Linked DNA regions of Pelodiscus sinensis. The protein of the gene in region 1 purifies or fractionates together with the protein of each later gene. This does not show direct contact. Links are inferred from orthologs where the notes say so. Each region holds a gene or a part of one and is shown on either strand. Other genes may lie near its edges.

Region 1 (9,779 bases):
TGGTCTATTGCATGGTCTAAAAAAAGGAGCAACAATATAGTGTGTATTCCTCCTGGAGCTTTATCAAGTTGGAGCTTCAGCATTAGATAAAAATTACTGCAGTGTAATATTTACAGTACATGTTGAAATTGTGCCAGCATCAGCAATAGCTCCTCTTATCTCAGATACCCAGAATATTATATAATGAAACAGAATCAATACACCTTCACATGAAACATGACTCCCTTAATAAAGATATGCCTTTAGAAAATAAGATTTTCAGGGCAGAGACTCTGCTATGTGCTTGGGACATTTCCCCCATACATTTAATGACATGTACTTCTGGTAACTGCTAGATAAATAATGTGGTTTTTGTTTTACTATATAGCATGCTAGTTAAGGCTGCTAAATGACAACACGCCTGCATATCACATCAGTAACAAAGTGAAAGCTTCTGAAAACAAGGAAATGAACTGTAAACAACACAAATCCTGAACTGCCCACAAAGTAAACACAACATGCATATGGACTACAATGAAAAGCATATTTTATCAAAACATAACTAACTTTGACCACTGAATTACTAATTTTAATATAATATTTTTATTGCAGTGGCAAAAAAAATGTTTTTTACAAGGTATTTTTAAGTGGAATACATTCTCAGCTAATACACGGCTAGGCTGGTACTCTTTAGGCACGTCCCAGAAAGGGTGGGGGTGGGGACACAATGCCCCAGAGAAAACACCAAGACATGCAGACTTAGAACTGGAATGCCTTCTGGAGCTTTCCATTGAACAGCGGGTATATACACACCACTACCTGTCAACGCTGGCTGGTATATGGGGGAACCAACACAGTCACAGATCTCCGTAATTCTCCACTCCTCACTGCCCTTCAAGGGTGGCGTACATCTCCATGGGAAGTAGCGAGGGTGCTATCTCCATGTGCTTTCTTGAGTATATGGCTTGGAATTCTGCCTGGCTCTTATGCTCCACTGAAGAGGTAACAAACATGTCACTTTAGTATCTGTGTCTTCCTCTAGCTCTAAGTCAGAATTGCAAACCATTGCACTATTAGAATGCCATGTAATATCAAAGGATCTTGAATTTTCTTCAGGCTTTGCTGAAACATTCACCTTTTGCTGCCAAAATAGGGCACTATAGCAGAGAAGCTGGTTTCAAACTTAACTATGGAAATACTGCCACATCTCCTTAATAGTATGGGTTCTGGAAAGACTGCAACACTGTGTGTTGGGTCTACACCAGTCCAGCCATTGGACACTGACATCAGCCCAGCACTAGGCAGCCATTCCCCTGTTTCAGGCTTCCCCCTCAACACGTTTCCTTGCTTAGGGTCATGCCATGATTATTTGTGTCCAGTTCAGTCATATCCAGCTGAAATCCCTTTTCTTTGACTCCACATAGCCATCTACAATAGACGTTCGCAAAAACTGAAAAAAATCCCCAAGCCAAGCATATCGAGAGAAGCACTGCTGATAATGTTCAATGTACTCAAGACCTCATGCTGAACAATGTGCTGGGGACACACAAAAGATGACGACAGGAAGAACTGAGGTCTTACTAATCTTTCTCCCCTTCTCTAGTGGCATTTTTTGAGCTTATGGAGCTAGGAAGCATTTTATTATTTCTTTGCAGACGGCACCAAAAAGTCTGTACATTCTCTACCTAAGGGCTTATTATTGCTAGGAAGGGATTGCTGGTTTAGCTAGACCAGCAAAACAGTCTAGTATAGATGAAGCTTATATTAACTGCCAATTCCTTGAGCAAAATAGGCTACATCAGCAAAAGTAAAGTTGTGCTGGCATCACTAGGTCTTACCCTAGCACACAGGCGAGGAACCTTTTGGTTGGGGGCTGCTGACCTACAGAAAAATCAGTTGGGGGGGCACACAAACTGAGAAGCAAAACAACCCCAAACCAAACCAAACCAACACCTCACTGACATGGCCTCTGACTGAGAAGCAGAAAAACGTTCCCCACATACCTCTCATACACCAAATCCCAGGGGGGCCTGGGCTAGTAGATTTTGTGGGCCTCTCTAGGCTCTGGGTGGGGCAAAAAATGAGGGGTTCAGTGTGTGGGAGGGGCCTGCTGGGAAATGGGCTTGGGTTGTGAGGTCTGGGTGGGAGGGAGGGTGCAAGGTCTGGGGGATTGGGGTGGCAGGTCTGGGGGAGAGGTAGGGTGCAGGAGAGAAGTGCGGGTGCAGAGTCTGGGTGGGAAATAGGGTAAAGGAGTGGACTGGAGATGGCAGGGCTTGGTGGGAGTGGAGATCTGTGCAGGAGGGCAGTGCAGGAACAGGCTGAGGGTTGGAGGGTCTGGCAGGCCGGTAGGGTGCAAGAGTGGACTGGAGGTGGGGGGTTTGGGTAGGAGGGGGTCCAGGAGTAGGGTATGGGTGTAAGGGCACAGGCCTCAGGGATGCACTTGGCTCCATGTCCCCTGCCGCTCCCAGGCATAAATTCTGTTGCTCCGATTGGCTACGATTACGGCCAATTAGAGTGGCGGGGGAAAAAGCCTCCAGGCAGTGTTTTGCTGTGCTGCCATTTCCCCAGTTGAGAGGGGGGCGAGCAGCACCCATGGAGCTACTTTCTCGTGTTGCCAAACAGAGCCTGTGGGTCGGAACCAGCCCCGGTTTGCCTGACTCCATCTCATGAGACTCTTGGCTCCCCATCCTTGAAGTGGTGAGTCTGTGCTGGCGCTCCAGCCCCACGGGGGAGGGGAGACACAGGGCTGGAGCGGCAGCACAGGCTCCCCAATACAAGCTCAGCTCTGGATCCAGCCCCCACCCCTGCACATATACCAGCACATCTATGCTGGGAAAACATCACCTTCTTGACATAATTATGTCAGTATCCATTGTTTATGTAGCTCAGGCGTTAGTCTGTAGGAGACACTTTGATTTTGTAAAATTGTGTAATTCCCAGCAACTAGTTGCAGCTGTAAGGCACAGTAGGTGGGGGCAGATTTACTGTTCCCACTCCCTAGCAAATGGTAGTGAGAATTGCCAAACTGAGTATCCTGAAAGGGAAGTTAACATATCAATTATACAGCTGATGTTTTTTAAATTAATATCAGATCACTTGCAATCTGTTCTGATATAAACATCAGGTTGGAAGTGTTTTATCTGGGTTTATAATCGTATTTCTTCTTTGTTTTCCATAATAATTCTCTCTTCAACATTATTGGAAACAGCCCCTCATTATGGCTGAGTAGGCAACATGGTATGGGCTTGCTGTACAAAATCGCACTGTTCCAGTGGTGCCACAGTTCCTTCTGAAGCTGCCAAATGCAGGATCACTGGCTAATCCCTGTGTGCGTGTGAGGGGGGGGGGGGAACCACAAAAAACTAGAGGTGAAGGCTGCTTTCAAGCTACCCTCCAGCAGAATGCCCATGCCACGACTAGCCAGAATTAGGCCTGTGGCTGGTGTTTTACAAACAGCTGTACAAAAGCTTGGGATGACAGCAAAACACTGCCTATGTCATCCATTCCCAGAGGGTTTACCCAAAGACAGTCCTGATCCAAATCTGTTACGCAAAGTAGCCGAAGCGCAGTGTGCTGGGTTCTAAATTCACTCAGTCATTACTGGAAAAAATAGGTGAAGTAAAAAGGAGGTTAGAACCCAGAAAGAAAAACAAGCGGCAAAGTGGGTCAGTGGTTAGTAACAAATAGCGAGCAGCAAGATCTTTAAGAGCTCTTACCTTGGGGCTAGCAGGGACACACGCTGGACTGATCAAGAGTAAAGAGCAACTGCTGGGCTTTCTCCTGCACTCTATTTTCCTGTGGATCTGTGGTTTTCTTTTTTCCTTTTACGCACTTCTCTCTCTCAGGTAAGTTGCAGAACAGGCTCTGCAGCAGGAAGTAGAACTTTTATGCAAATCACAAATCAGAAGTGGAAAGCCTCAGGCTGAAAACCTCTTCGAGGGGGAGTGAATCAGTAACAGAGGAAAGCTACTTTGAAGTTAAAAAGTCCCTTGAATTGTTCCTGTCCCAAGAAGTCAGGCTACTGTTCAAACTGAACAGATAAATAATTGCAGGGGAAACCCAATATGGTTTTCAAACATAATACACATAAGTGGAAGAAGTGTCTGATTTTTTTAAATACTAGAATGTACATTGTCAGTGCTAAGCTGTCTGCTCAAAAATCATGAGTCAGACCACCAAAATCATGAGAAATCAAAAGAGTGAATCACAACTCATGTGATTTAAAGGTGGGTTATTTTTGTATGCATTCTGATTCTTGAGTCTTGAACATTATGCTCAAGCAGCATTTTCCAGCTTCTCTCCACATCCATGACTAGGAACATTTGTTGTAAGTAATTAAAGGTGAAGTTCTCATGCACTCACAGCAGCTAGGACTTTAATTAAAACATTAAACAGTTGACAACATTTCATGATAGATTTTAGAATACCTTACAGTATCATCCAACTTGTCTTCTTTCCAGGCAGGGTTTTCATCACAGTATATTATCTAGTGCTTTCTCCAGTCTAGCTGACATGGCGGAGGGAAACTGACTTTTACCACTTCCCAGCGCAGCAGACCTCACTGTCAGGCCTGTTAGCCTACATTTTCTTCTCTTAGTTTCACCCCATTCCTCCTACTTATACTCCAAGGTGCCACATGGGTGTTTTCACCTTTTCAGTATTTGTAGGCTGCCATCAGGTTCCCCAGCCAAGCTATACATATATAGCTATTTCAAATCACCCCTTAGAAGTCAATTCCTCCTGAAGTTTGATGTTTTTATTGCTCTTTCCTGAACACCCTCTCATTTGATTACTATCTTGGTTAAGAGGTGCCTATAACTGAAAGTAATATTTCAGATGTGGCCGTAGCAGAGAGAAGGGAGGTAACAGAACCTGTTTCCCACTGCCTTAAGATGCCTCTGTGTATTTTCTGATCATACACTTTGTTACAATGACATGAAGTTTCCAAGCACATATTAGTGCTTTGAGTAAGCACTTACCTGCCGCTACTTCATAATACAACCCTTAAGTCAGGCAAGTCTTTCCTGCACCATGCCATGCCTAATTTACTGGTCTTTGTCACTCATCAGTCTGATTCGGCTTTACTGCTTCTAAAGTTTCTACCCTTATTTTGAAAGTGCTATGGCACTCTATAACAGTGTTTCTCAACTTTTTTTTATAAAGTACCCCTTTAAAAAAAGTATAAGTACCCCCCACTACGTACAGTTTTCAGACACACCATTTCTTTTTTCTACCATTGCAACACATTTGCTTAAACAACTTAATTATAGCCAGGTGGGTGATGAAATTTTTGGGCGTAAAAAGTACAAAAATAATAAAGTGCTGTAAAACTTAAAACAAAAATTCAGTTTTCTCCAAATGTCAGTTGTGTTGATGTATCCCCCAGACATATCTCAAGTACCCTTAAGGGTACTCATACCATTGGTTGAGAAACACTACTCTACAATACAGGTTGAACCTCCCTAGTCTGGCACACTCTGGTCTGGCAACATCAATAATTTTAGTTAGCTGGATGCCCATTTATCATGGGTGTGGCCAAGTTTCTTGTGGTCTCAAAGTTTGTTTACCAGTCCTGGCTCTCAGTGTTCTGTGCTGTTATTTAGCATTAATTTACCCCTAAATGTCTTCTAAGAGCCCAATAAGCAGTGAAAGTGTTGGTAATACTGCTAAACAATATTGACCTCCCATAGTTTGGCAAATTCTCTGATTTAGCACCAGTCAGGTCCCTATGGTGCTGGACTGAGAGGTGAAAGCACTGTGCCTTCCACTAGCAGCACTGCAGTATTTTGGGCTGTTGCTGTAGAATACTGTAGCATGTTTCCTGGAGAACCTCACGCTGCAATCATCATTCACAAGAGTGGATGGACTCTTGATTGGCAGGAAAGATTCCTGCTGAACATTGTGTAATGCTCCCTGTCACCTCCCCCTTCTTTCCACTAATGGGCTGGGCATGCTGCCTCTCTTAGCTTCCCGTATCAGCCTTACAAGTGAAAGGCTAGTGTCCATAATTGAACCCATATTTCCCCTCTGGGACATTGCAGAGCAATAATATGAGGCCACTGAAACAAAGCCAAAATGGCTGATTGCTAATAGTTTCTTCCCTTCTCAGATTAGCATCAGGTCTATGGCTGCTCATGCCCATGGCAAACTGGAAAACACGTGCCCTTCACTTCCCACAAGCCCTAAACATTTTGCTGCTCCAGGCAACCACCTGTTCTGCCTGTATAACAGAGCCAGCCTTGGATGTGACGAACATTCCTACCAATTAATGTGGCATTAGTAGTCATGCTATTAGCATGGCCTTTTAATCAGTGTAAGTTTGAAGCCATCTGTTTGTAACTAAGACGTGGTGTTTTGCTGCATGCTTATTTTTCACAGTGAAAGCCCTTCCTCTGACAGCTGTGAGCTTTGGCATTTCAGTGGCACAGTTCTGTAAGACTGGGTTTGATCTGAGAAACTTCCCAAATCCATATTTTACAAAGTGCAGATTTGATAAGTGCAGCTACAGTGAGGTAATTGTTGGTTGCAGCAGGCTGGCTGGAAGAGCTGCAGCATGCTAAGCACAAAGACTAGGTAGGTATAAGGTCTGGAGTTTCTGGCTGGGCATATCAGTGATGGTGACTCATCCAGGGCAGGGCAGGCAAATACCATATTTACTGATGTATAAAACCAAGATATTTATGCCACAATTTTAAGGCAAAACTTTTGGCTCATGTACTAGTCAAGTGTGGGAAAGAGAGGTGTTCTGCTGAGTCCCCTGTGCTGCTTCCTGTTCAGGGACGTCCCCCTTCTCCATAATCTCTTATCTGTGGAGCACAGGGATGGTGGGAGTAGGATCAGTTTACATGTAGGACATATTCGTTAATCTTTGCTGGGAAGAGAAGGGGTTTAACTTTATGGGAGTTGGTTTATAAGCAAGTATATACGGTAGAACCTTGCATGTTCATCATTGTCTAACTGGGGAAATGAACTGTGAAGGAGACCAGAGAATGTTTATCAATCATTCATGCAGCACATTAACCAGTGCTCTGACTCAAGGGCAAGAACTTCAAAGTTATAACTTTGTGGACATAAATGGCACTGTCTGGCTTCAGACTCTCCATGCTGACCCCTCCCAATTCCACCATTTAGACAAAGCAAACAGGGATTTTCAACAGATGATATCTAGTGTTACTAGCAGTCCTCCCAGCATGTCTGAATTCCAAAGTGTAAACAACAGGGCTCCCCAACCCAAATAGGCTTTCAAAGCTGAAAGCGTTGTGAAGTCAGTAACTGTTTTTTTTTTTGTTGCAAACCTGGTGTTTGTAGTTGTCAGATGACAGCCAGCTGCTGAAATGTACCAGGGAGAGTTCTCACTATGAGCTGACAGCTGCCTGCTGGCTACTCACAGCCTTTCTGACCCTGAGTGTAAGCAAATGAAAATAACTCAGTTTCTGGTGGCCAATTCACGGTTTCACTTCTGTTTCTATGGAAATGGGCACAGACTGGCAGAAGAAAAGGGACAGAGTGCGTGTGTGTGCTTACATGCGCACATGCGCACACACATACAAATGTTTTAAAAAGCATTTTTTAAGGAAACATACATATGTAGTGAAAGAATATTGGATCCCTGGACTCCTCAGGTTAGGAAGGAAATTGAACCATCGAAAACAGCATTATGGCTTCTATATAAACACTAATTTAGGACCCTGTCCTGTAAACACTTATCAGTGGGCACAATGCATACACCACCAAAGTCAGTGGGACTGCTTAAGGTAGTACATACTTTACCTGATAGTCTGTATTTGCAGGACTGGACCTAAGGGGTCATGAATACATTTATCATGCCTGGTCTTTTAGGCTCTTCAACAGTAACAACAACAACCTGTTTAAACTAATATCTCAGAATATGAGGTTATGGCAAACAAAGGCTGCATTAACCTGCTCCAGGGGTGAGCTTGGTCCCCTGACCTCAGTGTAGTAACAAGCCTCTCTCTTGCTCCATGCACTGGTGGTGGGATTAAGCTGGCCTAGTGAAGATAAGTGACTTGTCCACGCTCACACATGGAACTGGGAATAGATCCCCAAAATCAGGAGTCCTCATGTTCCTTAATCAGAAGGTCATCCTTCTTCTTACAAAATAACAGCAAGGAACAATTCCCACCTATCTCAGTCAAATTAGAGGGTTGCTCGCAGGGGGCTAATTAGAACCCACTCAGGAAGAAACTGGAGTCTGAGATCTGCTGGTGATTTCCTCAGGTGAATTATTCTAGGGGACCAGTGGGCTGAGTTTGCCTGACTGACACCAATCCAGGCTTTGTTAGCAAAATACCTGTCACCAGTGACAATCATAGGACATGCCAGATGGGAGTCTCATCTGAGCTAAATGGATTGTAGCTACTCCCCCTGTGTGTCCACTTCTTCTGCAGCAGGCTGCTGGCATTCTGCCAAAGAGCAGCAAGCAGCAGCTGATGGGCCTGTGGTTAGTCTGCACATCCACTATGGACAACTGGAAGGGAACTCTGAGCCACAGGGGAGCCAAAATCAGGATCTCAACATGTGGAGTGCCCAGTTTATACCTTTCAGTTAGCTCTGTTACAGTGCAGCAAAAGGGGATAGTCACAATCACAGCCATACAGGCAGCAAAAACTCAAGTTTTGGTGCTGCAGCTGATTAGGCAAGTTGAAATGGGGAGGGCAATATTTGACAGTGTTTTTATAGTGCTGAAAAAACAATAGACATCTTTAACAGGACCTTCCAAAATCAGCTCCTGGTCTCACTCATGTGTGGGTATGGGAAGAACTGCCTGTAGGCAGAGAGCATTGATACTCACAACCCCAACATTTATTTGTGTAAAAGGCTTTCTTTACAATACGTCTGGGTCTGAAATCTCTTACCTGAGCAGCAGCATCAGGAAGGCTCTGCTCTGATCCCTGTGGTGCATCTGCGCCAGAGTCAAACGCACGCTTCCAATTTTACCCCGTGCAGGGATGAAAGAAGCAGAAAACAGCCAAAAGCCTGTGAGAAGGAGAGGAGGTGAACCTAATGAGCAAAGTGGAATCCCTTCCCATAGAGTATCCTAGATGTCGATATAGTGCTTCTCACTCTGGTCTGACAGCACCAAAGAGAGTCCAGTGTGTGTGGTCCTGTAGAGGGCATGGCTGGCAGGAAGATAGAGCCATGCATAGGTCACTTTACCCAGCATCAGTAAAGCCATGATGAAATACCCCAAGAATCAGTATTGACCTCTTGCTGCAGATCGCCTGCGCTTGGATCACAACCTCTAAAACGGAATGCATGTTCAGAGTGGCAAATGCTCCAAGATCCACAGGTTTGTCTCAGACCTTAGGACAGTTACATGCAGAAATGTTGGACTAGGCTCTGTTCCTTTTATGGCTTGCCAAAGCTCGCTCATAGGATGGCATGATGCAGAAACTTGGTCTCTCACCTAATTTGGTCCCTGTGAAGAATTTTTTTTTCCACAAGAGGTGGCATAATCCTACTGAATATTTATTTTTAGTGAAACCTACACAAATAAATATCAGTGCCTACCAACCTAATAGTATAACTCTAGTGGTGGAAAAACCCTTCTCCTGAGGGTATACGTTGCTATCATCTGTTCTGTGGAGATTAAGAGGCTCCCTTACAGTTGATTCTGCATCTCAGATAATGAGCACCTGTCCCCTCCTCTCCCAAGCCACATCAATAGTCTGTTGCTTTCTAAAGGCCTAAACCTACAGCTTGGAAGTTTTATCATTGACTTCAGTGGAAGCAGGCTCATACTCATAATTGCTTTAAAGCCAACACTTCTGTCCCCTCAT
Region 2 (9,484 bases), on another chromosome or scaffold:
TCCAGCCCCCCTCCTGCCTGAGAGCCTGGGACACTCCCAGGGGGTGTCTGGCTGCTCCCTGTGGAGACAGGATCCAGGTCCCTGGATGGGTCATGCTCTTCCAGCCGGGCAGTCCTGGGCCTTGGTTGCTTTCCCCACGGGCAGGCCCCTCTCTCTGCACAGCCCCACCAGGTCTGCCTTCAGGAGCTGGGCGTAGGCTGTCTCCTCGCCAATCCCTGGGGTGCAGACTCAGCGGCCAAGTGCTACAGCGCCCCACGACTCCCTTCACTCTGCCTCCCGCACGCCTGGCTCATGCAAGCCCCTTCCTTCTCCTGCGCCTTGTTCCTTGCTGCTGGAAGCTCCATCCAAGGGGTGCATCCCACTGCTGCCACCACTATGGTGGCGTGTCAGGGACCCACCTGATCCTGCACCCCCATTGCAGCAAGATGAGACTCCGCCAGCCAGTAGAACGGGGCGGGGGGGTTATTGCTTTTCCAGGACACAGCCCAGCACAGACGTGATGTGGCTACAGGAGTCAGGGCCAGGCAGCCTCAAGCCCCTTGGGGGAGGGGTCCAGTGCCCCCCTCAACACCCGCACTCAGCTTACTCACTTCTCTCCATCTTTTTCCAGACAAGACCGCCCAGCTCCCAGGCCCTGCCCCCCAGCCAGGTGGCGTCTGCACCGCCCTCCCTTTGTCTCTCCCCGGGAAGAGCCTTGTTACCTGCCCAGGCTGGGCCCGGGTGTCTGGGCCAACACACATGCAGGTGAGTCCGTGGGAATCCCAGCCCAGTGCAGGGGACCCCGGGTTACAGAGCAAACAGCCCCCCACAACGTCACAATAGACTTTGGGGCAGTGATCTGGCTGCTCCCCTTAAAATCCAATAATGTGACACGGGGCCCCCCAAGGGTCCAGGTCACCCTCCAGTCTCCCGCCACGAAACTAGCCTGCAAGAGCCGGGTACAACCAGCCCCGTCCCTGTGCCACCCGCTCGCTCTGCCAATGGCCAGGGGCCCACCCCAGCACACACGACACCAGCGGCAGGCACCCCAGTCCTCCGGCAACAGCACTGACCCCCCTGGCTAGGAGCCTGGCTCGCACACGCCTTTTCCTGGCCACATTGCCCTAGGGACTTCGCCCTGGTGACATCGCCCTGGTGAATTCACACTGGTCGCATCGCTCTGGTGACATCGCCCTGGTGACATCGCCCTGGTGAATTCACACTGGTGACATCGCTCTGGTGACATCGCCCTGGTGAATTCACACTGGTCACATCGCTCTGGTGACATCGCCCTGGTGACATCGCCCTGGTGAATTCACACTGGTCGCATCGCTCTGGTGACATCGCCCTGGTGACATCGCCCTGGTGAATTCACACTGGTCGCATCGCTCTGGTGACATCGCCCTGGTGAATTCACACTGGTCACATCGCTCTGGTGACATCGCCCTGGTGACATCGCCCTGGTGAATTCACACTGGTGACATCGCTCTGGTGACATCGCCCTGGTGAATTCACACTGGTCGCATCGCTCTGGTGACATCGCCCTGGTGACATCGCCCTGGTGAATTCACACTGGTCGCATCGCTCTGGTGACATCGCCCTGGTGAATTCACACTGGTCACATCGCTCTGGTGACATCGCCCTGGTGACATCGCCCTGGTGAATTCACACTGGTGACATCGCTCTGGTGACATCGCCCTGGTGAATTCACACTGGTCACATCGCCCTGGTGACATCGCCCTGGTGAATTCACACTGGTCACATCGCCCTGGTGACATCGCCCTGGTGAATTCACACTGGTGACATCGCCCTGGTGAATTCACACTGGTGACATCGCTCTGGTGACATCGCCCTGGTGAATTCACACTGGTGACATCGCCCTGGTGAATTCACACTGGTGAATTCACACTGGTGACATCGCTCTGGTGACATCGCCCTGGTGAATTCACACTGGTGACATCGCTCTGATGACATCGCCCTGGTGAATTCACACTGGTCACATCGCTCTGGTGACATCGCCCTGGTGACATCGCCCTGGTGACATCGCCCTGGTCACATCGCCCTGGTGACATCGCCCTGGTGACATCGCCCTGGTGAATTCACACTGGTGACATCGCTCTGATGACATCGCCCTGGTGAATTCACACTGGTCACATCGCTCTGGTGACATCGCCCTGGTGAATTCACACTGGTCACATCGCCCTGGTGACATCGCCCTGGTGACATCGCCCTGGTGAATTCACACTGGTGACATCGCCCTGCTGGCCCATCAGTGTGTGGCAGAGATGCCCACGAGTGGCCTGGGCCATAGGGGCAGCCCTGCGCTCACCCCATGGCCCTGGTACATGCCCTGGCTGGGCCAGGCCACCTGCGCCTCTCTCCTCTAGAGCAGGCCACCCAGGGACACCAGGCTCCAGGGCCTGAGGCAGGGATCTCTGCTGCTCCCCATGCCGGCACCCTGGCACTGAGTACTCCTGGCGGGCCCTGGGCCCTCCTGCCATGGGCCTGGCTGCCCTGGGGCAGGGAGCTGCCCGCAGGCTGCATGGGCAGGTCCTAAGCTGAACTGGCCAGCCCGGCGCTGATGAGGAGCAGAGAGAGCCCGAGAGCTGGGGGTCGCCCCCCTGGATGTGTGGGCCCATCCCTCTGAGGGGGTGCAGTTTGGGTCAAAGCTCTGAGCACCCCCCACTGTCAGTGGCATCGGAGCAATTGTTAGGGTGAGGGGGGGCTAAGCTGTGTCCCGTTAACCCCCGTCTGCACCCCCTTAACTCCATCTGCGACCCCCCCACCGCCGTCTGCACCCTCTTAACTCCATCTGCGACCCCCCACCGCCGTCTGCACCCCCTTAACTCCATCTGCGACCCCCCCACCGCCGTCTGCACCCCCTTAACTCCATCTGCGACCCCCCCACCGCCGTCTGCACCCTCTTAACTCCATCTGCGACCCCCCACTGCCGTCTGCACCCTCTTAACTCCGTCTGCACCCCCTCATTCCGTCTGCACCCTCTTAACTCCGTTTGCACCCCCTTGCCCCTCTGAGCCCCTCGCCCCGTCTGCACCCCCTCATTCCGTCTGCACCCCCTTAACTCCATCTGCGACCCCCCCACCGCCGTCTGCACCCTCTTAGCTCCATCTGCACCCCCTCATTCCGTCTGCACCCTCTTAATTCCATCTGCGACCCCCCCACCGCCGTCTGCACCCTCTTAACTCCGTCTGCACCCCCTCATTCCGTCTGCACCCCCTTGCCTCTCTGCGCCCCTCGCCCCGTCTGCACCCCCTCATTCCGTCTGCACCCCCTTAACTCCATCTGCGACCCCCCCACCGCCGTCTGCACCCTCTTAACTCCGTCTGCACCCCCTCATTCCGTCTGCACCCTCTTAACTCCGTCTGCACCCCCTTGCCTCTCTGCGCCCCTCGCCCCGTCTGCACCCCCTCATTCCGTCTGCACCCCCTTAACTCCATCTGCGACCCCCCCCACCGCCGTCTGCACCCTCTTAGCTCCATCTGCACCCCCTCATTCCGTCTGCACCCCCTTAACTCCATCTGCGACCCCCCCACCGCTGTCTGCACCCTCTTAACTCCGTCTGCACCCCCTCATTCCGTCTGCACCCCCTTAACTCCATCTGCAACCCCCCCACCGCCATCTGCACCCTCTTAGCTCCATCTGCAGCCCCTCATTCCGTCTACACCCCCTTAACTCCGTCTGCACCCCCTCACCCCGTCTGCACCCCCTCTGCACCTCCTCATTCCGTCTGCACCCCCTTAACTCCATCTGTGACCCCCCACCGCCATCTGCACCCTCTTAACTCCATCTGCACCCCCTCATTCCGTCTGCACCCCCTTGCCTCTCTGCGCCCCTCGCCCCGTCTGCACCCCCTCATTCCGTCTGCACCCCCTTAACTCCATCTGCGACCCCCCCACCGCCGTCTGCACCCTCTTAACTCCGTCTGCACCCCCTCATTCCGTCTGCACCCTCTTAACTCCGTTTGCACCCCCTTGCCCCTCTGCGCCCCTCGCCCCGTCTGCACCCCCTCATTCCGTCTGCACCCCCTTAACTCCATCTGTGACCCCCCCCACCACCATCTGCACCCTCTTAGCTCCATCTGCACCCCCTCATTCCGTCTGCACCCCCTTAACTCCATCTGCGACCCCCCCACCGCCGTCTGCACCCTCTTAACTCCGTCTGCACCCCCTCATTCCGTCTGCACCCCCTTAACTCCATCTGCAACCCCCCCACCGCCATCTGCACCCTCTTAGCTCCATCTGCAGCCCCTCATTCCGTCTACACCCCCTTAACTCCGTCTGCACCCCCTCACCCCGTCTGCACCCCCTCTGCACCTCCTCATTCCGTCTGCACCCCCTTAACTCCATCTGTGACCCCCCACCGCCATCTGCACCCTCTTAACTCCATCTGCACCCCCTCATTCCGTCTGCGACCCCCTCACCCATCTGTGCCCCTTTAACTCCCGTTTGTGCCCCCTCACCTCTGTCTGCGCCCCTTATCCCTGTTTGCACCCCCAACCCCCATCTGCGACCCCTCATCCTTGACTGCACCCCCTTACCTCTGTGTGTGCCCTCTGACCCCCGTCTGCACCCCTTTGCCCATCTGTGCCCCTCGCCCCGTCTGCGCCCCTCACCCGTGTCTGTGCCCCCTTACCCCGTCTGCGCCCCCTTACTCCGTCTGCGCCCCCTTGCCCGTCTGTGCCCCTCGCCCCGTCTGCGCCCCTCACCCATGTCTGTGCCCCCTTACCCCGTCTGTGCCCCCTTACTCCATCTGCACCCCCTTGCCCGTCTGTGCCCCTCGCCCCGTCTGCACCCCTCCCTGCCCCCGGCTGGGGCGCAGAGAGCCAGGCCCAGAGCCCTGCAGGCTGGCCGGGGAAGTCCTGGGAGGAGTTTGGCTGCTCGGGGAGGGGCGGCCCAGCCCCCTTCCTGGGCGGTTCGAGGGCTGGAGTTTATAGCAGCTGGCCGGTCCCCTCCCCGCAGCCTGGACGGTCCAGCTGCGCCATGGCCGGCCTGCTCTGCCTGCTCGGGGGCTGCCTGCTCTGGGTGAGTGCTGCCCTCGCCCGGCGCCGCCCGCTGCAAGCCTGGCCCGGCTGGGCTCCCGGCGCCCCTCTGCCTCCTCGGAGCCAACTCCCTGCCCGGGCAGCCGGGGGCTGGCACCGCGCCACCTCCCCCCCGCCGGCAGAGCGCCCGCCAGCCCGGTGCCAGCCCAGGCCCCGGGGAGGGGGGGCCGGCGGGGGTCAGGCCCGGGCGCTGAGCACACGGGGGCCGGCGGGGGGGACGCGGGCTGGCTGCAGTCGGCTCCCTGCCAGGTGGCTGGTTCCTCATTTCTGTGGCTGGGAATTTCCCTTCATTCTCTTGGATTTCCCGGCCCCGGCCGCTCTGCCCTGCTGCCTGGCAGCCCGGGTGGGACGGGGACGCAGGGGGGGCGGGCAGGGCCTGGGGCCCCCACTGCCCAGGCAAAGGGCCCAGCCAGAGCTGGGGCCAGGCCCCCGCCTGCTCCCTGGGTGAGGCCCAAGGCTTCGCTTTCACTTTCTTTCTGAAGTAGGGGGCTGGAGCAAGCCCCGGAGACAGAGCAAGACCAGCCCAGCCCAGCTCCGGCCAGGGAGCCCCAGGGAGCCCCAGGGAGCAGGCCAGGGGCAGGGCGCAGGGGCAGGGCTGGGTCCCGGGCGGGGAGCGCGCCGGCCGGCCAGGGCGGAAGGGCAGCCCGGAGGCAGCAGGGCACTGGCCGCGGGCGCCCAGCGTCGCCGGTTGCAGCTGAGCGCGCGCCAGGCCCTGGGCATGCAGCGTGAGCCGGGGCGCGGGAGCCGGCTGGCCCTTCCTGCCTCTCGGCACAGGACCTGCGCTCCAGGGTTCCCGCCCAGTTCCCGGGGCGCCAGGCCAGGCCTGCAGGGCGGAGGGGCTGGTTCCCCAGCCCGCTAGGGACGTGGGACGGCACCGTCGGGCTCCGCGCCGCCCCTGGAAGCCCCAAGCCCGGCTCTCCGAGAGCGACCGGCGGCAGCACCGGGCCCCTGCCCTGAGAGCGGCCGCGCTGCCCATGCAGGGCTGGGGCACGTCCCGGTGGGGGAGGGGGCTCCCCAGAGCCCACAGGCTCCTCCCAGCACCGCCCCGTGTCCATCCGTGGCTCGGCCCTGCGGCAGGGAGGGCAGCTGGCAGCCCGCGGGCAGGGCAGCCGGGGTCCCGGTCCTGTCAGCGGTGCCCGGCGTCGCCCTGGCGCGGGGGAGGCAGGGCACCGGGGCGCCAGGGTCCCGTTGTGGTTCCAGCGGGCGCCGGCAGGCAGCTGCGTCTGGGAGCGCCGGGGACGCAGAGGCTGGGCAGAGCCTGTGGGAGCCAGGGGGCAGGAAGAAGGGGGGGTCCTGGCCCGCCTGAGCTCGCCGCTCTCCTCTCTTCCAGCACTGGGCGTCTGTCAGCGCCTTGGACTGCAACCTGCAGCAATACGAGCACCAGGGCACGTGCTGCAGCCGCTGCAGGCCAGGTACGGAGCCGTGTCGCGCCCCAGGCAGCCACCCCAGAGCCGGGCTGGGGCCGCAGCCTTGATCTGCTCCGGGGCGCGTGCAGGGGGGCAGGGCCGGGGGCAGCCGGCGTCCCTCCCTCCGGGGTGTGTGCAGGGGGGGCAGGGCTGGGGTAGCCGGCGTCCCTCCCTCTGGGGCGTGTGCAGGGGGGGCAGGGCTGGGGCAGCCGGCGTCCCTCCCTCTGGGGCGTGTGCAGCGGGGGCAGGGCCGGGGCAGCCGGCGTCCCTCCCTCTGGGGCGTGTGCAGGGGGGGCAGGGCTGGGGCAGCCGGCGTCCCTCCCTCTGGGGCGTGTGCAGGGGGGGCAGGGCCAGGGGCAGCCGGCGTCCCTCCCTCCAGGGCGTGTGCAGGGGGGGCAGGGCCGGGGCAGCCGGCGTCCCTCCCTTCAGGGCGCGTGCAGGAGGTGGTGGGGCAGGGCCTGGCCATGTGGGGCCCTTGTTCTCTGGGGGCTGCCCCCCGCCCCGCCCCCCAGTAACAGGCCGTGCGCCGCGTTGCAGGCTACAAGCTGCAGTCTGACTGCACGGCGGAGAGGGAGTCCGTGTGCGCAGCGTGCGAGTCGAAGCACTTCCAGCCTGGCTGGACGAAGGAGAGACACTGCTCGCCCCACAGATACTGCGACCCCAGTAGGTGCCTTGGGGGTCTCCTCCCTGGGGTAAACCGCCCCCGAGTAATGCTCAGGCCCCCCCCACTGTTGGCTCAGCCCCCGGGCCCTACAGCTGACCTGTGTCTCGCCCCTTTGCCCAGACGCGAAGCTGGTCCTGCGGCTCCCCGGGGACGCGCAGAGCGACACCAAGTGCGAGTGCGAGCTGGGGACGTTCTGCTCCTCCCACGAGTGCCAGACCTGCCTGCCCATCTCTGCCTGCCAGCCGGGCCACGGAGTCGCTCACATAGGTGAGGTGGTGCTCGGAGCCAGACAGAGCGCGTCCCAGCCGGGACCCAGCACAGCCCGAGGGGCACCCAGCCCCATGCGAGCCCCACCGAGGCTGCCCCCGAGACCTGCCAAAGCCTGCCCTGGCATGGGGCACCCAGGGGAGATGGGTACAGGCTGCAACCACTCCATGCGTCATCCCCAGATGCCGCTGTCCAAGGGCTTTGGGAGCTAGGCCCTGCCCCGCCCTCCCCTGCATGGTGCCCTGCCCCGCCCTCCCCTGCATGGCGCCCCGCCCCGCCCTCCCCTGGCACTGCGCCCTGCCCGCCCTCACCTGAACACATGTGATGGACCAGGCCGGTTTGAGCACAGCTGAGGGTGTCCACTCAGGGCGAATTGCTCAAATCCAGGGCTCCTTACAGCCCCCAGACTGGTGACCTCTCCAAACAGGCCACAAACCAGTCCCACAGAGCGCTTCAGCAGCCTGCCTGAAGCCTCCTGAGCAAAACCCCTCCGACACCCCAGCAATATCCGTGCCCCAGGTGGCCCCGGGCCTCATACACCAGTGGGGGGTCCTAGCACCCAATCCCACCTACCCCGAACAAGTCCTGTCCGGTTCCAAGAAACCAGCCACAGATCCCTGGTCAATTTACCCTCTGGACCTTACCCACAAATCACGCTGGGCCAATCCTTTAGAATCTATATCTAAAGGTTTATTATCACAAGAAAGAAAAGCATGAGAGCAAGTTTGTTAAAGGATAGTACATTACATGCACCGAATCTCCCAGTCCTCGATGCAGGCTCTAGCAGAGATGTTGCAGCTGCTGGTTTAAAAGTCCTTGTTGCGCATCCTACGATCAGGATGGGTTCACAGGTCTTCCGGGCTCTTCAATCCCTGCAGTGCTGCCTCTGGGATGAAGTGCTGAGCTGAAGACAAAAATGAAGACCACCACATGGCCTATTTATCCCTCCTTCCTGGCCTCTTCTTGGCTGCAGCAGGTCACCTGGCCAGAGGCCAATCTCTGTGTTCCCTGCTGGCAGCCCTCAGGAGTCAACCCTCATTCTGTGTGTCCTTGGCCCATTGAGAGCCATTGTCCCACAGGGCCTCGCTGATTAGCATGTCCATAGGCCGGGCTCTGCCCAATGCTCAACCACATGCAGGGAAATATTCAGTCTCCACACAGATTACAGATTCCTAACTCCACACACACACATTCTACAGTCACATGACCAGTGTCCATAGGATTAGCAGACAGTGAGCTTCTATTCAGCACCCCACATGGCCCCTTTTATACCATTTTTGGGGCCAGCAGTGACCTGGCTGCTTCCCTCCAATTCAGCAACGTGACACCCCCAACGCAAAATTGATGCAGGAAGTGATGCCAGTAACATCACTGAGGGCATCACAGGCCCCCCCCCCCCATGCTTTGGCTCTGTCTCATCAGGTGTTCTAACCCAATGTTGGAAACAACAGCACAGAGCTGGATCAGCGTATGAGATGATTTTGCCCCGAGCTGAAGAAAGTAGTGACTTTATCTAGGCCAGCTCTGGCAACTCTCTGAACCACAATTAACATTGTGTGAATGCAGGTATTCCCATCCCAAATAGTGAAGGCATTTTTGCACTTAGCCATGAAAACAGAATGGTGGCGTGCCTCAGTTTCCCTTTTCACACAGGACCTTCTGGCTGGAACCTTTTTTGTCCTGTAATAAGTTCCAATATCACACTGTCCCCTTACATACCGGCTGTCGTTCGGTACATCTCCAGACAGATCACATGGTATTTCCATAGGATCATGCCCATTGTATACCTCTACAATTCTCTGCAACAATAATCCATTGGTTACAAGAATTAACATCAGTAACAAGAACAATCCTATCTCAGGTGTATACTGAAATTCCCCATCAGGCCCCTTCTCTGGCCCCACACCATTGTAGTTTTGGCCCTTCAGGTTTAACCTGCAAATCTTCTTGGCCAAAGCAAGTCCTGCCCCTCCCCCTTGTCCTGTGGGCTCCAGGCCTGAAACCTCTGGCCAGACCAAGACAAAGGGCTGGCTGGGCGTGACTCCCTGGCTCACAATGGCCCTGGAATTCTCCCCCTTCCCCCACTCAGTGGGGTAACAGCAGTGAGCT

Evidence for each region. Proteins that work in one complex are often made in the same cells at the same time.
Region 2: the proteins of TRAF3IP2 (region 1) and CD40 purify together in Homo sapiens (affinity purification with western blotting, with the first as the bait; 3 studies listed by BioGRID). This does not show direct contact. The link is inferred for Pelodiscus sinensis from reciprocal best matches to the Homo sapiens genes TRAF3IP2 and CD40.

The regions. Positions count from the first base shown.
Region 1 is NC_134713.1:79,753,385-79,763,163, forward strand, and holds the start of TRAF3IP2 (E3 ubiquitin ligase TRAF3IP2), read right to left. Parts: upstream 3,876-9,779; 5' UTR 3,696-3,875; intron 974-3,695; 5' UTR 799-973; intron 157-798; exon of another isoform or gene 1-156. UniProt on the Homo sapiens protein: E3 ubiquitin ligase that catalyzes 'Lys-63'-linked polyubiquitination of target protein, enhancing protein-protein interaction and cell signaling. Transfers ubiquitin from E2 ubiquitin-conjugating enzyme UBE2V1-UBE2N to substrate protein.
Region 2 is NW_027465895.1:136,892-146,375, forward strand, and holds the start of CD40 (tumor necrosis factor receptor superfamily member 5), read left to right. Parts: upstream 1-4,892; 5' UTR 4,893-4,979; coding exon 4,980-5,021; intron 5,022-6,368; coding exon 6,369-6,450; intron 6,451-6,981; coding exon 6,982-7,107; intron 7,108-7,228; coding exon 7,229-7,375; intron 7,376-9,484.